Linked DNA regions of Rattus norvegicus. The main gene of each other region encodes a partner of the protein of the gene in region 4 in a complex. Links are inferred from orthologs where the notes say so. Each region holds a gene or a part of one and is shown on either strand. Other genes may lie near its edges.

The links.
Region 1: the proteins of Ints11 (region 4) and Wdr73 are in contact, whole or in part, in a cryo-EM structure (PDB 8R22), measured with the Homo sapiens proteins. The link is inferred for Rattus norvegicus from reciprocal best matches to the Homo sapiens genes INTS11 and WDR73. Residues at the interface, in NP_060341.2 of Homo sapiens: Tyr206, Thr208, Thr209, Ile210, Arg211, Asp212, Ser213, Arg215, Cys216, Arg217, Glu218, Arg219, Asp220, Leu222, Lys223, Lys224, His226, Phe255, Arg258, Met259, Leu364, Val384, Glu385, Tyr386, Ser388, Lys418, Lys419, Glu421, Phe422, Gln425; in NP_116245.2 of Homo sapiens: Asp5, Asp6, Leu8, Val9, Ser11, Leu12, Tyr15, Gln16, Phe18, Tyr19, Ala20, Phe21, Asp22, Leu23, Glu50, Leu52, Arg59, Leu68, Phe69, Pro70, Glu71, Arg72, Asp73, Phe74, Lys75, Val76, Gly79, Phe81, Asp116, Ser117.
Region 2: the proteins of Ints11 (region 4) and Ints4 are in contact, whole or in part, in a cryo-EM structure (PDB 7BFP), measured with the Homo sapiens proteins. The link is inferred for Rattus norvegicus from reciprocal best matches to the Homo sapiens genes INTS11 and INTS4. Residues at the interface, in NP_060341.2 of Homo sapiens: Pro183, Trp191, Lys194, Asp212, Gln288, Gln400, Gln404, Lys462, Met465, Ala466, Leu469; in NP_291025.3 of Homo sapiens: Leu159, Asp161, Thr162, Arg167, Tyr203, Gln207, Asp244, Ser292, Gly294, Trp296, Arg299, Lys323, Met326, Ser327, Asp328.
Region 3: the proteins of Ints11 (region 4) and Ints9 are in contact, whole or in part, in a cryo-EM structure (PDB 8RC4), measured with the Homo sapiens proteins. The link is inferred for Rattus norvegicus from reciprocal best matches to the Homo sapiens genes INTS11 and INTS9. Residues at the interface, in NP_060341.2 of Homo sapiens: His94, Gln97, Ala98, His137, Leu138, His139, Gln140, Thr141, Lys274, His277, Tyr278, Lys280, Leu281, Phe282, Ile283, Pro284, Trp285, Arg291, Phe294, Ser449, Pro450, Ser451, Ile452, Pro453, Val454, Gly455, Ile456, Ser457, Leu458, Leu461; in NP_060720.2 of Homo sapiens: Glu127, Gly198, Tyr199, Ser200, Gln201, Lys202, Tyr231, Glu338, Phe339, Ile342, Phe343, Glu345, Gln352, Lys354, Val355, Tyr356, Leu357, Pro358, Glu359, Pro360, Pro361, Arg511, Arg512, Tyr513, Glu514, Lys515, Ile516, Glu517, Ile518, Met519.
Region 5: the proteins of Ints11 (region 4) and Brat1 are in contact, whole or in part, in a cryo-EM structure (PDB 8UIB), measured with the Homo sapiens proteins. The link is inferred for Rattus norvegicus from reciprocal best matches to the Homo sapiens genes INTS11 and BRAT1. Residues at the interface, in NP_060341.2 of Homo sapiens: Leu9, Val15, Gly16, Lys27, Met35, His36, Met37, Gly38, Phe39, Arg43, Asp47, Tyr50, Thr58, Asp59, Asp62, His70, Leu71, Asp72, His73, Asp87, Gly88, Gln97, Pro101, Ile102, Glu105, Arg108, Lys109, Val112, Asp113, Lys114; in NP_689956.2 of Homo sapiens: Asp25, Thr27, Cys28, Glu30, Lys31, Asp34, Pro117, Ser156, Ser157, Leu158, Phe159, Ser162, Lys358, Ser359, Cys366, Arg367, Arg424, Arg427, Thr465, Lys468, Lys469, Trp514, Glu515, Asp518, Ser519, Glu522, Tyr560, Ser564, Ser604, Glu605.

The regions. Positions count from the first base shown.
Region 1 is NC_086019.1:144,274,903-144,279,137, reverse strand, and holds the start of Wdr73 (WD repeat-containing protein 73), read left to right. Parts: upstream 1-1,430; 5' UTR 1,431-1,477; coding exon 1,478-1,518; intron 1,519-1,960; coding exon 1,961-2,028; intron 2,029-2,230; coding exon 2,231-2,319; intron 2,320-2,627; coding exon 2,628-2,716; intron 2,717-3,251; coding exon 3,252-3,316; intron 3,317-4,235. Other genes in the region: Nmb (neuromedin-B), read left to right, coding at 201-254. UniProt on the Homo sapiens protein: Component of a multiprotein complex required for the assembly of the RNA endonuclease module of the integrator complex. Associates with INTS9 and INTS11 in the cytoplasm, stabilizing the INTS9-INTS11 heterodimer and blocking the active site of INTS11.
Region 2 is NC_086019.1:161,207,779-161,211,291, forward strand, and holds part of Ints4 (integrator complex subunit 4), read left to right. Parts: intron 1-33; coding exon 34-151; intron 152-3,513. UniProt on the Homo sapiens protein: Component of the integrator complex, a multiprotein complex that terminates RNA polymerase II (Pol II) transcription in the promoter-proximal region of genes.
Region 3 is NC_086033.1:43,449,232-43,452,744, forward strand, and holds part of Ints9 (integrator complex subunit 9), read left to right. Parts: intron 1-154; coding exon 155-326; intron 327-3,513. UniProt on the Homo sapiens protein: Component of the integrator complex, a multiprotein complex that terminates RNA polymerase II (Pol II) transcription in the promoter-proximal region of genes.
Region 4 is NC_086023.1:171,774,899-171,778,411, reverse strand, and holds part of Ints11 (integrator complex subunit 11), read right to left. Parts: exon of another isoform or gene 2,001-3,513; coding exon 1,902-2,000; coding exon of another isoform or gene 1,817-1,901; coding exon 1,782-1,816; exon of another isoform or gene 1,547-1,781; coding exon 1,408-1,546; exon of another isoform or gene 1,024-1,407; coding exon 959-1,023; exon of another isoform or gene 512-958; coding exon 322-511; exon of another isoform or gene 191-321; coding exon 107-190; exon of another isoform or gene 1-106.
Region 5 is NC_086030.1:19,045,594-19,048,697, forward strand, and holds part of Brat1 (BRCA1-associated ATM activator 1), read right to left. Parts: intron 2,237-3,104; coding exon 2,145-2,236; intron 1,962-2,144; coding exon 1,843-1,961; intron 1,770-1,842; coding exon 1,583-1,769; intron 1,393-1,582; coding exon 1,319-1,392; intron 1-1,318. UniProt on the Homo sapiens protein: Component of a multiprotein complex required for the assembly of the RNA endonuclease module of the integrator complex.

The DNA.
Region 1 (4,235 bases), on a different chromosome or scaffold from region 4:
GGTTGTCATGACTACCCTGTGAAAGTTAGGGCTAGATTCTGGGAAAACCATTACCCCTGACTCCTCAGGTCTTTCAGGGAGAAGGGTTCTCACTCAGAGGCTCAGCTGAGAGCCTGTCACTACTGCCCCCCTGTGTACACTCAGCATATCCCTCATTCGTGGACTCCAGGATCGAGTTTTCTCTTTTGCCTTCAGTACAGGAGGCTGCTGCAGAAGTGACGCCAATAATGGAACAAACACGGCACTGGGCGTAGCATGCGTCCATCCAGGGAAACTGAGGAATGGAACCCTAGCAGTGGCCTCCTCTGGATGTGAAACCTAAGCTCAAATGTGTTACTCTGTTACTGTGATTTCTGGTTGGGTCACCAGGAATGTTAACGATACAGACACAGTCTTTCCTGCTGTATTTCTTGCTTCCCTGGTGAAGTTGTGAATAAAAATACTGCTCTTTACGAAGACTGTCTGGGCCTCTCCTTCCACCCACATTTGAGGAAAAAGGGAAGGGCTCTCTGGAGGGTGGAATGTTCAGAGAGGTGGTCTTGGGAAAGCCCCATCACCTCTCACCCTGGCACCAGCCAGACAATGAGTGGTTGCCAACTCTCAGCAACCAGGTATTGTGTTGGCTGCACTGACCATTGCCACCCATGAGTTCTGCTACAAAGTCTTCCCCTGCAACGGGAGGCTACCTACACTACGCTACACTGGCCCCATGGAAAACTTTATTGAGGTACCTGGTGCATACCAGAGAGAATCATGCTGGACTCCAGCCCTGCTGTGTTCTTATTCTCTGGATGCAGAGTCCTCCATACATATTGCCAAAGTTATCAAATAAAAATTAAATTGGAATGTCAGATACTTTATTGATAGAGTCTTGTTTAACGTAGACTGAATTTAAATTCCCTATGTAGCAGATGATGACCTAATGCTTCTGATCCTGCCTCTATCCCCTGAGTCCTGGAATTACAGTCCTGTGCCACCATACTGGGTTTTTTGTTTGTTTGTTTGACTGTGGTACTGGAGAGCTAACTCCGTGCACGCTAGGCAAGCACTCTAGCAGCTGAACTACATCCCCAGCCCAACAAGATTCCTTTCATTTAAAAAGAAAATCCTAAAGTATCCTGCACGGACATATTCACGCAAACTTTTAAATTAACTGTTCACCTGAAGTTCCAGTTAAGTCTGTATTGTACCTGGCTTTGGGACATTGACAGCTCTTTGCACAACTTGACCCTAAATATACAGAGGTATATTTGATGTCTCCGATCCTGCTTGTAGCTGACATCGATGAATCTGGGGGGTTTTTTGCCTCGTTTTCATCCGGACTCTGCACACAGAGCCTAAGAAACATCAAGGCTTCGCGCAGCTCTGAGCGCTCACGAACCAGCAAGGCGGAAGACCACGCCCTCTCCTCGCGAGAACGCGCGCCTATCCAGGAAGTCTGGCTGGCGGAAGTGAAGCGACGGAAGCCACAGTTGCTATGGAGCTCGCAGAGGACTGGCTCGTGGAGTCTTTGCGCTTGTAAATCGGGTCGTGGGCGGGTCTGATGGGCAATGGGGGAGGGCGCGGGCCGTCGCGGGCTCGCGGGCAGTGCCCAGGCACGGACGGATGGAGGTCCTGATCTCCGGTTCTAGCTCTGGGACCCTCGGTCCTTTGTAAGCAAGTAATGTGGCCAGATCCGTGCTTGTGAGAGCGGGTAAAACACACATGACCCGTTACCTTATGCCGGCCTCTAGATTAACTTGAACACAGATTCTCTTACTGATCATCTCAACTTGGGGAAATCAACTTTGTGGGAGTTCCACAGGTGAGGAACCAAGTCTCGGTTCCTTATGGTCATCCTGGCCTCTAAAATGCAGGAAAAAAAGATCCAGCCCCATGTCTACCTAACTCCAGAGCCTCGTTCCACCAATCCTTCAGCAATCTCTTGGTTAGCTGTGATTTTTCTTTCCCTGTCCTGCAGGTACCAAGACTTCCATGCATTTGACCTCTCAGGAGCCACTCGAGTTCTTGAATGGGTTGGTGAAAAAGGTAATATACCTCGCCTGCCACTAAAAGAGGTGGGTTTCTGCCTCGGGCCGAACCTTTAGAGAGACCCATTCAACTTCCGTGCCCTGACACAAGGCTGCTCAGAGAATGGGGAAGGTATTTATCCTTTGGGGGAATTTATGAATCCACCCATGATCCACGGTATTTCTAACACTTTGTCATAGTTACTGTTTTGTTTCCTCAGGAGTCTTTGTTGCTGGTTATGAAAGTTTGAAAAAAAATGAGATTCTTCATTTGATTCTACCTCTAAGACTCTCTGTAAAGGAAAACCAGGTAACTTAAATATAGAGAAGCTGATTTATGTGTCGGTTTACTGTGGATTTCTGGAGTGCCTGTTATACCCACTATGTCTGACAAGTACCTGGGTCTGCCTTTCAAGTCCACAGAAGAAGCCGGGCGGTGGTGCGCACCTTTAATCCCTGCACTGGGGAGGCAGAGGCAGGTGGATCTCTGAGTTCAAGGCCAGCCTGGTCTACAGCGTGGGTTCCAGGACAACCAGGGCTACACAGAGACTCTGCCTAGAAAAGCCAAAAAGGACAGGAGAGTTGGTGCTGTCTGACTGCTCTGCCCTTTCATTTTAGGGCTTATACCCAGAGAGGGACTTCAAAGTACGCCACGGAGGATTCTCAGACAGAGCTGTCTTTGACCTAAAGCACGTGCCAGATACCAGGTATGACCAGTCTGTGTCCCAGACTTTCGGTTCTCTGGTGATGACAGGAGATACTCTGCAGGGTCTGTCTTTTTATCCGCATGCCCTCCTCTCAGTGTACAGACATGGGTGGGTATACATGGTGGTGCTGTCACACACAGATGTAGCATCTGAGGAAATCGTTAGCTCAGCAGCCATTTCGATTAGTGGAGCCTCCAAGTCTATGGGGATGCTCCGGGGACCAGATACAGAGTGGAAAAGTACTCTGAAGCTTGTCCGAGAGCTGACAGACCCCTGTACTTCAGCTTTTAGTCGTGGTTCTGTGTTCAGGCTTCCTACGTGTGTCCTTTCTAGGGGACCATCGTGACCTGTGGCAGCCTGGGCTCAGTCTGTGGCTCTCTCTGAGCTGTGATCCTGTCCCTAAAGCAGGAGCCTGCTCATCTGTTGAATGAAGACGGCTGGTCCCGGGGCTCCTGAGTGGGCTGGACAGGAAAGGCTGTTGGGGTGAGGGCAAATTTCCAGTGTGGATTTACAATTTTCCATCCCTTTGGAACAGGTTGCTGGTGACCAGTGGGCTTCCAGGGTGTTACATACAAGTGTGGCAAATTAGAGAAGACAACGGTAAGTGAAGCTCGCTTGTCAGAAGGTGAGGTTTTAGGAAAATGGCTCACACACTCCTGTCTCTTAGCTGAGCCAATGAAAAAGCACTTAAGGGAGGGGACAGGGGACATCACAGTTTCTGTCTACTACGTGCAACAAAGATGAGTTAGCATGCACAGTGTAGCAGACAGGCCTAATGGGACTTCTTTGAACTTCCTCCAGGAGTCCAGTTTACCTCCCCAGCTGCTGGTAGAGCACCTAGAGAGCCAGGGCCTCTCTGCTGGGTGTGGGCAGAGGAAGGGCTGAGCCTGAGCCACTCAGGAGCACTCAGCATGGAGCAGGCGACATGGAGGAGGTCCCTCCTCTTACAGAGTGCTAGTTCTGGGGAAGGGAAGTCGCAAGTGCGCAAGACGCTCACTGTCTTACCCAGAGATCACACCACTGCCCAAGGGGCACAGAGAAAGAGCAGGAAGTGTTGGCTGTCCCTTGTCAGAGTTAGGAAGTCCCCCTGTGGGGACTAGCAGTGGGACTGCAGGCCCTCTTGCCTGATGCAGCCGTTCATCCCACTGGAGGACCCCTGCCTCCACAGAGCCTCCACGGAGCCAGCAGCTCTCACTTCTCCCAGGCTTCCTTGCTGCACAGGCTGCTGTGAGGCTCATCCCTGACCACTGCTCTCTCAGGACTTGTCTGTGTGGTTGTTCACTTACCTATACATGGGGAAGGTTTTTGTTGTTGATTTTTTGTTTTGTTTTGTTTTGATTTTCAAGGCAGGGTTTCTCTGTGTGGCCCTGGGTGTCCTGGAACTCGCTAGAGTAGACCAGGCTGGCCTCAGAGACCTGCCTGCCTCTGCCTCCCTATTAAAAGCTGGGGTTAAAGGCAGTCACCACCCCCACCACCCACCCCCACACACCCCCGGCCTGTTGCTGCTGTTTTAATGGGG
Region 2 (3,513 bases), on a different chromosome or scaffold from region 4:
TGACAGATGTGTGTTGTTTCTTGTTTTTTCTAGGAAAATGATCCATCTGTGAGACTGAAAATCGCATCGCTGTTGGGATTATTATCAAAGACTGCAGGATTCTCTCCAGATTGCATAATGGATGATGCCATTAACATACTACAGAATGAAAGTAAGTTGCAGCTGACAGCTATGGGGTCAGAGTGCAAATCTTCAGTTCTACGTACAGAATTTACAACGGTGTTTGGTGTTGATAGTCATTAAAAAGATTTTTTTTTTTTTTTTAACAAGGTAGGGTCTTACTCTAGCCTAGGCTGTCCTGCAACTTATTAGGTACCCAGGATGACCTAAAATCTGAAACAGTCATCTGTCTGAGTCTCCTGAGAGACTCCGTAAGTCACACACCTTCTCCTTAAGAAGGAGTTTGAAGATGGTTTAATGGAGGCGTGTACATGTATCCATATTAGGGCTGAAGTATAGTTTTATGGTCCAGGGATGTAGCTCAGTTGGTAGAATACCTATCTGGCCTAGCATTCACGAAGCTGTGAGCTTAGACTCCATCACTGCATAAACAGGGCAGGTCATAGCTCAGTTGAAGAGGGCTTACCTAGAATGAAGTCCTAGGTTCCATACCTCCCCTTACCCAGCACCACATAAAATGCACATGGTGGTTCACAATGTAATCCTAGCACTTGGAGGTAGACTCAAAAGTTTAGGGTTATCCTTGCCTGCACAGGGAGTTAAAGACTTTAAGGTTTTGCCTCTGTCTATAGCTTCATTTAACAACTATCATTGTGACCTTACAAAGTGCTGTATATTTATTACTGCTTATTTAATATAGAGGTTGGATATTAATTTCCCTTTAAAAAATAATTCCAAGTACTTTTTTCTTTTGGGTTGACTTTTTGGTATTTTTGAGACATAGTCTGGTTGGCCTTGAACTCACATTATAGGTCATGTGGGCCTCACAACTCACAGAGATCTGCCTGCTTCTGTCTTGAAGTATTGAGATTAAAGGTATACATTTCCAAGTATATTTTAAAAATGTTATTTTATAGCTGGGCAGTGGTGGTACACAGTTTTCATCCTAGCATTTGGGAGGCAGAGGCAGGCTGCTCTCTGTGAGTTCAAAGCCAGCCTGGGTAGCCAGGACTACACAGAGAAATGGTGCCTTGAAAAATGAAAAAAATTGGGGTTGGGATTTAGCTCAGTGGTAGAGTGCTTGCCTAGCAAGCGCAAGGCCCTGGGTTCGGTCCTCAGCTCCGAAAGAAAAAAAAAAAAGAAAAAAAGAAAAATGAAAAAAATTACAAAAAGTTTTTTTTCTGTGTATGCATGAATGTGTATGTGTGTGCGGGCGTGTGCGCGTGTATATGTGTGTGCGTGTGTGCGCGTGCACATGTGTATACCCGTGGAGGCCGGAAGATAAAGTCAGATTCCCTGAAGCTGAAGATACAGATGGTTGTGAGCCCTGATGGGATGCTGGGAACTGAAGGCAGGATCTCCAAGGTGAGTAAGCACTCTTAACTACTGCACAATCTCTACAGCTCCTGATGTCCCAATTTTATAACTAAGTAAAGAAAGACTCAGTGAAGTTATTTGTTCAAGCCACATGCCATGTGGCAAAGTTCACTGTACCTGTCGTACATCCAGTAGTGTGAAGGAGAGGGAACGTGTCAGTAAAAGACAGAGAGCTGGAAACCAGGAGGTATTTAAGGAACTTGAGTGGGTTTTGTTTTTGACATAGCACCAGGGAGTGGTGATATGCTTTGAAGATAAATGTTAAGTCTTGAGTGCTAAGGAACATGGACCCCACGTTGGGCACCATCTGTCATTGTAACATTAATTTTGGGGCTGTCTTTTACGTCCTCATAGGTCCAGCACCGTAGTGCCCCACATATCTGGTAGATATCTTGCCAGAAGCACACATCCCAATTCTGTGGTGGCTCAGTTTCTCCAGCCGCCACACACTTTCTTATACTTAAATCGCTACATGAAAGAACACACAACCCAATAACCTCTGATCCAATGATAAGATATAATGGTCCACCTAAACATACAAAGCCCAGTACACATCCATCCCTTAAGAACATTCATAACAACCTGTAAAGGTACAGTGTGGAATCTTAATGTCAGCTTTCATGTTGTTTCTGCCGCTTCTCTCCATCCCTCCTCTCTTCCCCTTTCCCTTCCAGTCACCTCCCCTTCCCTCAGACTTTTCTCCCGCCCATCCTTCCTTCTCAGCTCTTTCTATCCTGTACCAGCCCTTACCTGTATGACATTATCCTACAGTGCAGGACTGTGAAGTTTTATGATTGAGGACATACAATGATCAAGTCAAATTTTAGAAAGACTATGGTACCTCTGGGGAATTTTGTTTGATATTGGGGCATCATTTACTGTCTATGTAGAAATATCCAGTCTGATTGCTCAGAAACTCAGGAGAGAAACTAGGATCAGGATTTAAAGTGTGTGTGTGGGGGGGGGAGGGGGTTGGGGATTTAGCTCAGCGGTAGAGCGCTTGCCTAGCGAGCACAAGGCCCTGGGTTCGGTCCCCAGCTCCGAAAAAAAAAAGAAAAAAAAATAATAAAGTGTGTGTGTGTGTGTGTGTGTGTGTGTGTGTGTGTGTGTGTGTGTGTGTGTGTGAGAGACAGCCTTGTGTGTAGGTTTCCTTGAAGGCTAGAAAAGGGTGTTGAATCCATTGGAGCTGGAATTCCAGGCAGTTGTAAGCTGCTTGGCCTGGGTGTGGGAAATAAAATTCAGTCCTGAATTAGGAGCAAGCTCTCTTAAAAACTGAGCCAGCTCTAGCCCAGGATTCCAGATTTAGATTGGATTTTTGATTTATCAGATGTAAGCTTTGTAAGTTTTAGTTAGCTTTTTGTGGATGTTTCCTTTTTAAGGAAATAAATCAATATGGTAGCATTGAGGGTGTCTTTGCCTCTTAGGTTTCCTGTGATTACCTTTTCATATTTGTGGCTTATTTTATATGTGAGTCCCTTCTGCAGTTTGATCTGAAAGCCTTACACATGGTGGGCAAATGTTACCAGAGAAGTAAACTTCTTACTATGGCCAAGATCACTTGAATTACCTAAAATCCTCTTGTGTTCCACCAACATTATAAGGACTGTATTTTGAAAGACAGAAGCGTGTGTGTGTGTGTGTGTGTGTGTGTGTGTGTGTGTGTGTGTGTGTGTGTGGTTTGCTGAAGTTTATTTTTGCTTTTTGTGTTTTCTTATGAGATAATTCCTCTGGTCATGCTAGCCAGTAATTTCGGCTGGTCGCAGATTTGTTTAATAGTCACTTGTCAAGCACCTATTTGATCATTGTGATGGGAAAATACATCCAAAGCATGCATACAATCAGAAGTTCCAGAAGAGCCTTTATATATATAAGGATGATCTAGTTGAGAAGATTGATGTAAGCCTTTTGTTTTGTTTTTTGATTTGATTCTTTGCCATTTATTAGGTATTGATTGAGCACATAATACGTTATTCTAGATTTTGAGACAATGGAGGTGAAGAAAGTATGGTCTTTGTC
Region 3 (3,513 bases), on a different chromosome or scaffold from region 4:
TGTCTTGGTGAGTTATCTCTGCAGACTTTTGACAGCAGCCCTCAGGCAGGTGTAGCTTCTGTAGTGTCTTCCTAGTCCCCGCTTGCCGTCTCAGTTGTCTTGTTCAGCATTTCTGCAGCTCAGCCATGTTCCTCTGCTCTGGGTTGTATTTTAGCTCATTCAGACCAATAAGCTGAAGCACTACCGCAGCATCCACGGAGACTTCAGCCATGACTTCAGACAGCCGTGTGTGCTGTTCACGGGGCATCCTTCCCTCCGGTTTGGGGACGTCGTCCACTTCATGGAGCTTTGGGGGAAGTCCAGCCTCAACACCGTCATATTTACAGGTAAATCTTAAGAGTAACAAGGCTCCTGTCCTTCCATCGGGCAGACAGGGCGTGAGCCTCCAGGGTAGAGAGGAAAGTATCAATGCAGCCCATCAGCCTTGCACACCCTAGTCTCCTCACTGGAGAAGCTGAGGCAGGAGGATCAAATTCCAGAGCACCCTGTCTCCAAAAATAACAAGAACAACATAGATATAAAGAAATAAAAGTAGGGCTGGAGAGATGGTTCAGCGGTTAAGAGCACTGACTGCTCTTCCAGAGGTCCTGAGTTCAATTCCCAGCAACCACATGGTGGCTCACAACCATCTGTAATGGGATCTGATGCCCTCTTCTGGTGTGTCTGAAGACAGAGACAGTGTACTTATATATAATAAATTTAATAAATCTTTTGAAAAAAAGAAATAAAAGTAAAGCCATGTTGGGCAACTGTTTGTCAACACAACTTTTATTTCTGTTCTTCTCTTTTCTTTTTCAATGCTGAGATCTGCTGTAGTGCTTTGGGATAGGATTTTATACGGTGTTGAGAACCTCAGTGATTCCAATGTTGGCCGGGTCTGACCGGTCGGGATTGTTTACATAGCTGAATCTTGGATCTTTGACTATGCTCTGCTCTGGCTTACAGCTACTCCTCTGGAAACAGACTCCTCAGGAAGGAACAAAGCCTTCAGTGAGATGAGGCCAGACAGAGGTGACTTAGGGATTCTCCCTATTTTATCACTGTAAGGTCTTCTTTACACTGCCTTTAAGCTTAGAAATCTCACAGGCTGTGAAGTCAGAATCCTGAAAGCTTAGTATAGCCTCAAACATGACAATCTATATTAGTCAGGGTTCTCTAGGGGGAGAATGAATCTCTCTTCATTCATAGATAGATAGATAGATAGATAGATAGATAGATAGATAGATATTATTTATCAGTATGGCTGTCAATGGAAAGTTCAATAATCCAGTAGTTGCTCAGTCTCCCAAGGCTGAATGTCTCAGCTGGTCTTTAGTATATGCTGTTATCCTGAAGAAATAGGCCAGTGAAGGATGCTCTGCTAGCAAGGCAAAGGCAAGCAGGCAAAGAGCAAAAGTTCCCTTCTTGTCCTATATAGGCTGTCAGCAGAGGTGTGGCCCACATTAAAGGTGTGTCTTCCCACCTCAAAGGTCTGAATTAGAAATGGATTCTCCACCTCAAACCAAGCGAAAGTAATCTCTCACAGGTGCCTTCTATTTTTGAACTGTAATTTGTTCCAGAGATAGTCAAGTTGACAACCAGGAATAGCCATCACACCATCGCTAGCGTCACCTTCTTCTCGGCAGAGATGGGGTGACAGATTCACAGATGTTGGGTGACATTACAAGAATTCTACAATTAGTCATCTCGGTGTCCTGTGTAGAAGAAGCAAGAATATAACCAGGCTGGGATAATTACCCCTGTTGGGCTGGAACAGGGTTAACTTTGAGTTGGAGCTGGATTTTTAGAAAGGTTTTCGTGGATTTGTTATGTGCTCTGTGAAGTGTGTGTCCAACAGTGGCTCAGCTGTGCCAGGAGCTCCTGACCCTTAGGGACTACTTTGTGGTTCCTCAGACACCTTTGGAAAACAAAGACAGGCTGTCAGGTCGTAGTAGATTAATTCACAAAGCCCAAAACTTGGCCATCATCAGAATTTTGCTAAGGTTGTCAGATAATACCATGTGGTAAGGGAGTGGCTGGTCTCTCCTGCTCTCTCTGAGCTATATCATGTGACAATACTTAAAGACTTCCATGGGCACAGTGAGAGAGTCCAGCTAAGAAGCCAAGGGCTGTGACTTGACTCGTGGTAGCACTGGGCAACATGCTGACATTTCATTGGCTGGTGGGTGGTTTCTAATCCCTGCTCAAGTGAGGCGGAGTTTGTCTGCCTTTGCTGCTTGTGTTGACGACTATATAGTATTCCTTCTGGGGTGGCCATGTTAGCAGAGGTTTTAGAATGAAAGCGTGGCTCTGGCAATCCTATAAGCTGGGCTCAGCCACCCATCCCTAAGATGCCAAGTAAAGGGACAAAATAGGGAAAAGCAGAGGAAGAGTCATTCAGAGTGGCCATATCATGAAGAACAGGTGAGGGACCCATCTTTGGGGTAGAACATAGATTTACATTTAAGTAGAGGTCTTACCGTATGCCTAATTAGCAGTCCTGGTCAGGATGAGGGTCTGCCCATCACTGATCCATCATCCTCCGTCTGCAGAGTGGTCCTGTAAGTTGCTGGACTGTGAAATCTCTTCGTGGGTGGGGGGAGGGGTCCTCCTCTCGCTGCAATTAGCATTTCAGTCTTTTCCTACCCCAATGTGAGAGTCATGGGGAGGCTTTAATTCTTTGAGGTCCATTGCCTCAGTAGTTGGATAAGCTGAGAGGAAGTCTTAGACAGACTATACCTGTCCCTTTGGGTATTGTAGGGTGAGCACAATATACTGTTCTCTTGGCTCTGTGGGCAGCTCATTTGGTATGAATACTCCCTGCCAAGCAAGCACTGGTAGCTGTTGAGAGGAAAAACTAGGCAATGTGACAGATTGCTCCTCTGAAGGTCTGGGCTCCTGGTGGGAGAGCCTGTTGACATGGACCAGGTCTCTGTGATGTCTGAGGTCTGACACCCAGTAAGTGTCTGCAGTCCTTTGTGTCCCACCTGATGTTAATTCTGAGCAGCTGATGGGGTATTCCTGTGGCTGTGCAGGTCCTGCCACTGTAAACTGTTTGTCTCTATGTGTATGCGTACTCTCTCTACATGTGTACACCTGCGTGCCAGAAGAGGGCATCAGACCCATTATCGATGGCTGTGAGCCTCAATGTAGTTGTTGGGAATTGAACTCAGGACTTCTGGAAGAGCAGCCAGTGTTCCTAACCGCTACACCGTCTTTCCAGCCCTCCTGTTCAGCTCTTGCAGGAGCTCAAGAGAATGTATATCCCATTCTTCCCCAGCTTTCTATCCAGAATTTCAGCACTGATTAATGACTCCTGAATACATTATCACTGCTGTGCTTCCAAATGACAATTTTCTATGCTGTTACTTTCTTCTTTTTGGGACAGGGTCTTCACTGTTTAGCCCAGAATGGCCTTAAACTAGCAGTTCCCTGCCTCCCAACCTCCAAAGTGTACAGCCACACACAGTTCTTTTCCTTTCTGTTTTGAGCTGATGGTTTGTTTAGAGCAAAGTCCATTTCCTGTCTATCCTG
Region 4 (3,513 bases):
GCATCATAGGGTCAGGACACAAAGGTCAAGGACCAGTTCTGTACTCCAGTTCGCTAAAGCTATAAAGAGCCCTCTTGGCACTTGGGGATTGGTCCCAAACCCTCACCATGTTCTTCTCATTTCCTGCCCATTTTCGGAAGATCTGCAGGGATTGGCCAGCGTGCAGCATCCCAGGTGTAGCAAATACAACCTGCAGGGTGGACAAGGGACAGAACAGACCTTACCTGGGGGTGCAACAAGCACCAGATCTTTGACCAACAGTCTTTCCCAAAGCCCCACTGGGAGGCCAGATGTGGAGAAGCTGCATTGCCAGAGCCTTACCATGGGTCCTGGGTTGTCAGCAAATGTCCGGTCAAAGGCTTTGATGTGCTTAAACTCAAACATGTTCCTCTGGACAAATGTCTTCCGGATCTTCTGGTTGGTCCAGGTGATGAAGAGCTTGTAATAATGGTTGGCTTTCTCTGTCAGGCCCGTAGAGAAGTAGATGGGCACCTTCAGGTTCATGCGCTCCCTGTGTCAGTATATGGAGGCCAGAGTTAGCCTGCAACGCATATCCCTGTGTCCTCTACTGCATAGCTTAGCTGTGGCCAGGGCTGAGTCTAGTGCACCTTGAACTGAACCCTGTGGTGTCTCTATCAACCTGGTGACCTCCAGGCCAGACCTCTTAGCTTGTGACCTATGAAACACGGGAGTGATAGGGGTCCCCAGAGCTCATGTGAGGAGACTCAGTGTTCATATGGGGCCAATACAGTCAACAGATGATGGCTCCAGTGTGATGGCCCAACAGATGCACAGCTCCACCCCAGACAGCAGGGCCAGTGGTACTCAGTGGTAGTCAGTGGTGCCTTGACTTCTTAACAGTTCCACTGTGCCTGGTAGCGTGAGAGGTTTACTCTCCTACATGGAGGCTGTTCCACCCTTTCCTGCCTACCTGTGAGATTTTCCTGTCTGCACCTACCAGAAGGTCTCCAGCAGGATGCAGAGTTCTTGTGCTCGGCCCAGCGCAAACACAGGGATCAGCACCTGGGGGCAGGTGAAGCTGGTTCAGTTCAGAGCTACCGGCTACACTACTGTTCCTGAACACATCAAATAGCAAGATACTCAGTGCACCCATTAGCAAGTTAAATGAGGACATTACTGCAAAGGAACAGACAGCCATCTAAGAACCACAGATATGGTACCTGGCTACATGCAGAGACAGCAGGAACTGTGGGAGGCTCTTGAACAGCCTTCATCAGATGCAACCGTGAGAGAATGGAAGACTCTGGAATCTGTCTTCTTAGTGCCACACAAACCACAACTCCCACACCCAGAGACCCTGACCAAAGGTACGACAGCAAGGCCTGCTAGGAGGCCTAGAGTGTAGCCAAAGTGGGCACACACCCAAAGCCTGCCTGCAGTCAATACCTTTCCGCCACGCTCCACAGTCTCATGAACTTTCTTCAGGAAGTCTCGCTCTCTGCAGCGTTTGGAATCTCGGATGGTTGTGGCATATGTGGACTCTGTGATGAGCAGGTTGGGACGACACTTGTCAATCCAAGCAGCCCTAGAGCAGAGGTAGGAGTGGGGATGATGGACTGTCCATGACTACAGAATTGGACACGAGCTCCGCTATATGGCCTGTCAAACGTCATGGCAGCATACTCGGAGGAGACAACAGGGGGATGAGCCTGTAGCCTAGACTCCCAAAGGTACTTCCACACTGCATGAGAGTACTTAGGTGCCCACCATGATGCCTCTTAGAGCTACCAGGTCCCAGGGTGAGACACAGTCCTACTTACCCCAAATGCCGGTCTGGAGTCATGTTATAATCACCCTGGCAAAGAAAATGCAATAAGGAAGTTGTCTTTCTTCTACCCCCAGCAATTTCACTCAAGCACCAAACAAATACTTCCACTGACCGTGTAGACCACAGACTCTGAGCCCACTTTAATCTGGAACATGGCTGCCCCCAACACATGGCCTGCATAGTACGCCTTGATTTCCAGTTCATCATCCACCTGTGGAAGAAAGAATGCTCTTAGGCCTGCAGGGCAGGAAGGCAGCAGGAAGTAGATGATTACCTTAACCCAGTCCAGTTAATTCCTGTTTCTCACAAGAAGTCTAGGGCTTGAGGGTTGTAGCATAGTAAAAACAAAACTAGGTTAATTATCTAAGGATCTAGAAGCCACACTTCTTTTTTTTTTTTTTTTTTTTTTTTTGGTTCTTTTTTTCCGGAGCTGGGGACTGAACCCAGGGCCTTGCGCTTCCTAGGCAAGCGCTCTACCACTGAGCTAAATCCCCGACCCCTAGAAGCCACACTTCTAGACAGTACAAATCAACTCCAAACACTACAAAGAAGAAATTCTAAAACTAGGAACTGTAGACACCCCAGCTAAGACTTCAGTAGGTGAAGCTGGGTATGGTGGTACAAGTCTGTGTGTCACTCAGGAAGCTAGGCAGGAGGACTGCTATGAGGCCAGCCTGAGCTACATAGTGAAGTCCGACCTCAGGAGAACGAGTAGAATTTAGCATAGTGAATAAAGTCAAGAGAAGGAATGCATGTCTAAAATGTTGAAGCACTGCACGTGGCGACATTTAACTGTTATCTCAGTTCTTGAGTTCTTGGAAGGCTGAAGCAGGATGATAGAGTTTTGAGGCCAACCTGGGCTGTGCAGTGAGACTGCCTCAAGCCAAAAAAAAAAAAAAAAAATTAAATTCAGCATGAAATAGAACACAAAATGGATAATGAAAGGCCTATAGTGAAAAGATCTAATGTTAAGCTACTCAGAGCTCCAGGAAGAATTAAAGACCTACACTAACCCAGAAGTAGACCAAGGTCCCTCAGAGTACAGCCTGTCAAGGCCAAAGGGAAAGCAGCCTGAACAGGAGCAGACAGGACTCCACAGGAAATGATCACTAAGACGCTGGACTGTGCACCTCACGAAAAGGGATAACTGCAGAGCTTCCAGGAACAGCAAACAAAGGAAAGGGGTTGTGCTGCAGGCATGTTCTTTGGAATTGGGAAAATGCCTTCGAAGTGAAAACTCTGCCCCTGGGAGGACAGGGAGGCCCAGGGCCTTGGGCAGTAAACAGGAGGTAAATAAAAGAGCACATCCTGGAGGGACGAGAGCCTGGGGGATCACTGAGAGCCCCACCATAGTATAAGTGGGAGTTGCTGCTAGGGTTAGACTCTAACCAGCCAAGTCATGGGGAGAAACCATCTGACTGCAGCACTGAGAGCCAGACAGATCAGAGGCCCTGATGGGAGGAACAGTTCTGTGTTCTTGCACAGGGACAGACTAGGTAAGGCCCAGGATGGGGCTGGGATGTGAGGCCTCGAAGGAGTTAAAGTTTCAGTTCCTGGGAACTTGATTCGTTCCCCTGAAGAGACAATGCACTGAGACTGAACTATGTGTTCAGTCTATAATGCTTTCGTGTTCTTTGTGCAAGAGTGCTCATTAGCTTCCTGCTGACTTCCTCCAATTGTATGATAATTTCTGCTAACTCTATCCTGGAAATAGGATAAGATGC
Region 5 (3,104 bases), on a different chromosome or scaffold from region 4:
GAGAGAGCATAGGTGAGTGGCCTCCCAGACAGTGAGACTCACAAGTCCTGCCTGGGGTGATGCGATGGCCTCATGTGGATATGACACCAACCCCCACCCCAAGCCTCTCCTTCTATAAGGTCCATTCTGCCTGGCAGCACCCAGCACCAAGACTACACCCAGGAGCAGGAGAATGCATGAGAATGTGCCCCAATGCCCTTCCCTCCTTAAGAATTGCGTGAATGGCAGAGCATGGTGCAGACAGCAGGAGGCCAGCTTGGGCCACAGAGTAACATCCTGTCTCAGAAAGACAAACAAGAGCCACTCAGGCAAGACTGCCCAGAGCGCTGGGTTAGCAGTCATGCCCCAACTCCATCTCCATCCCTGGCTCCCCCAAAGCTTCAGAAGTGGGCACTGCCCACACTCAATGCTAATGTGGGACCCCCCACTGCCAGAAGACAGGGTAAGACACTGGGGAACCCGGCCCCCCGTTAATTCTGATTGGTAAATACAGATGCCAGCAGCCAATAGCTGGGGAGAAGACATGGGCGGGGCTTAGGTTTTCTGGGCTTGGGACAAGGAAGCGGGAGGAGGAGGAAAAAGGAGCCCCTCCCACCCCCCAGTGGAAGAGGAAGAACAAGCAGGGGAAGGAGAGCTGCCCTGGGAGAGCTGTGACATAAAACATGGGCACGTGGGCCGGCCAACGAGGTAGGAGGAGCCCAGACAGAACACAGACATGAGGAAGTGGTAACTCTGAGTCGGCAATAGGAAAGGGGATTCTAACAGCATGGAGGGTGGGCGCTGCCTAAGGTGTATTTCACAAGATAATCTTTTATGCCGGTACATAAATAGTCTAAGGCGGGAAGAAACCCCGCACCGGGATTTTTTAAAATATTACTACAGAATTCCTTTTAAATGTAAGCCTCACCAGCACAGACTGGATCCTGGGTCCCATGCAACCACTGCTACCAGTTTTGACCTTGTGTCAAGCGTCTCTGCCCCCTCGTAGTCCTACCGTGTGGCCTTGGCTGGCCTGGAACTCCTTTCGTAGACCAAGCTGGCCACAAACTATATAGAGATTTGCCTGCCTCTGCCTCCCATGTACTGGAACTAATGGCGTGAATGACTGCACCCAGCTTGTCAGGGTCTCTTTGTAGCCCAGACTGGCCTTGAACTTATGATTCTCCAGTCTCTACCACATCTGTGGGGGGTTACAAGTGTGTTCCATTACACGGGCTGGAAAGGTCATTCTGGGCAGTGGCTCGGTGGCCCCTTTGGAAGCACTCATAAGTGAGAAGGTCCCCAGCTGTACGGGCTTCCCAGAACTCATTTACTGTACCATGGGGCTGGACTCTGGGCTCTCCAGGGTCTTCAGGAGGACAGCAAATACCTCCAGCACCAATTCCAGGGGGCCTGGAACAGACATGAGTGGAAACATCAACCCAACTTCTACACAGAGCCTGCCACACGGCAGGGAGCAAGCATTCCAAACTCTATGGAGGCAGAGGTCAGAAGCTACCCGAGGGCTACCTGAGGGCCCAATGGACCCTCCAGAAGAAAGAGAAGAGAAAGTGAACTCAGGGCAAGAGAACACAGCACTCACTTGTCCCCAGAGACAGCGTCCCCAAGAAGTCAAGGGCTGCTCGCTGGACACGAACACAGCCACCCAGCGCCCCACAGAGACGGCCTCCTGCACTGGAACTGGGGTCCGCCGAGCCGTCAGAGAGACGCAATATCGTCACAGCAGCTTGCAGCAGAGGCACCTGTGGCCACGGTGAGGGGCACTGGGGCTGCAGGGAGGAGGAACGTCAGCAGAGGTCTGGGGTCATGTGGCTCGATGACACGAGGCCTGGCTACACTTACCAGCATCTGCAGCTCCTCCAGGTGCGCCAGAGTCTGGCAGAGGAGCCCCACACAGGCCGACTTTGAAGATAAGAGTGCATCCACAGTCAGCAAGCTACCCGCAGTCCCGTCCAGCAAGCCTAAGACAAGGACAAAAGCATCCCTTCAGTGACCGCCATCCAAAGCAAGGGCCAGGTTTCAAGTTCAGGGCCAGGGCGGTTCAGGGATGCTGTCCAGTGTACTTTTAGTTGGAGGTCTGAGTGGGAGCAGGGTAGCTCACTGTTCTTTGCCTAAGAATGGAGGGTTCCACCCTCCCTGCATACCTGGAGGTCCAGGGGCCTGAGTGGTAGCTTTCAGGATGCAGGCCAGTGGCTGAAGGAGGACTCTAAAGGCCTGGGTCCTCAGTTCCTGGGGACTGGGGACATAGTACAGCATGAGGGTTATTCTCTGGCCCCAGTCTGAGCATCCTACAGAGTCTACGGTGTCTTAGTATGGTGTCTCAGTACAGGCTCCTCTGAAACACTTTGTCTACAAGCTACTAGCTAGGAACCAGGATAGGAGGAGAGGCCTGACCAAGGCTTGGCCCTGCTGTCCCTAGGAGCGGTTGTTGCTGGGTCTCAGGGGCCCCAGAAAGGCTGGTCACACTCCCTGATCAGAGTGACTGGGAATTTCCTGGCTTCTAGGACAGTGCCCAAGTATACTCATGCTGTGTTCGATGACTTAAGGTGGCCTTTTTCACATTATGTGATGGAGCACTCTGATGAACTGAGCCTGCTCAGACCCTTAGTACCTCTCCTCTCTGCATCCCACACTCAGCAGCCCACACCTCTGCACACCCCATCAGCTCCAGGAGCCTGGCTCAGCCTTATTGGAGGTGAGAGGACAGCTAGAGAAAGCACAGAAGTTAGCTTTAGGTCTGGGGTACCACAAACTTTAATTTGAATCGTTCTGTCTCTTGCTTAGCGTGGTATCAGGAGGCTGAGGTGGGAATGTAAAGTTCAAGGCCAGCTTAACCTAAGGAGTTATTTCCAGGACAGCCTGGGCAGCTCAGTGAGACTGCCTCCAACTAAGAAGAAAAAGAAAACTGTGCATATAGTTCTATGACAGAGCCCCTGCCTAGAATCCCCCAGTGAGGGGCTGGGGGCGTGGCTCAGTGGTAGAGCCCCTGCCTAGAATCCCCCAGTGAGGGGCTGGGGTGTGGCTCAGTGGTAGAGCCCCTGCCTAGAATCCCCCAGTGAGGGGCTGGGGTGTGGCTCAGCATAGAGCCCCTGCCTAGAATCCCC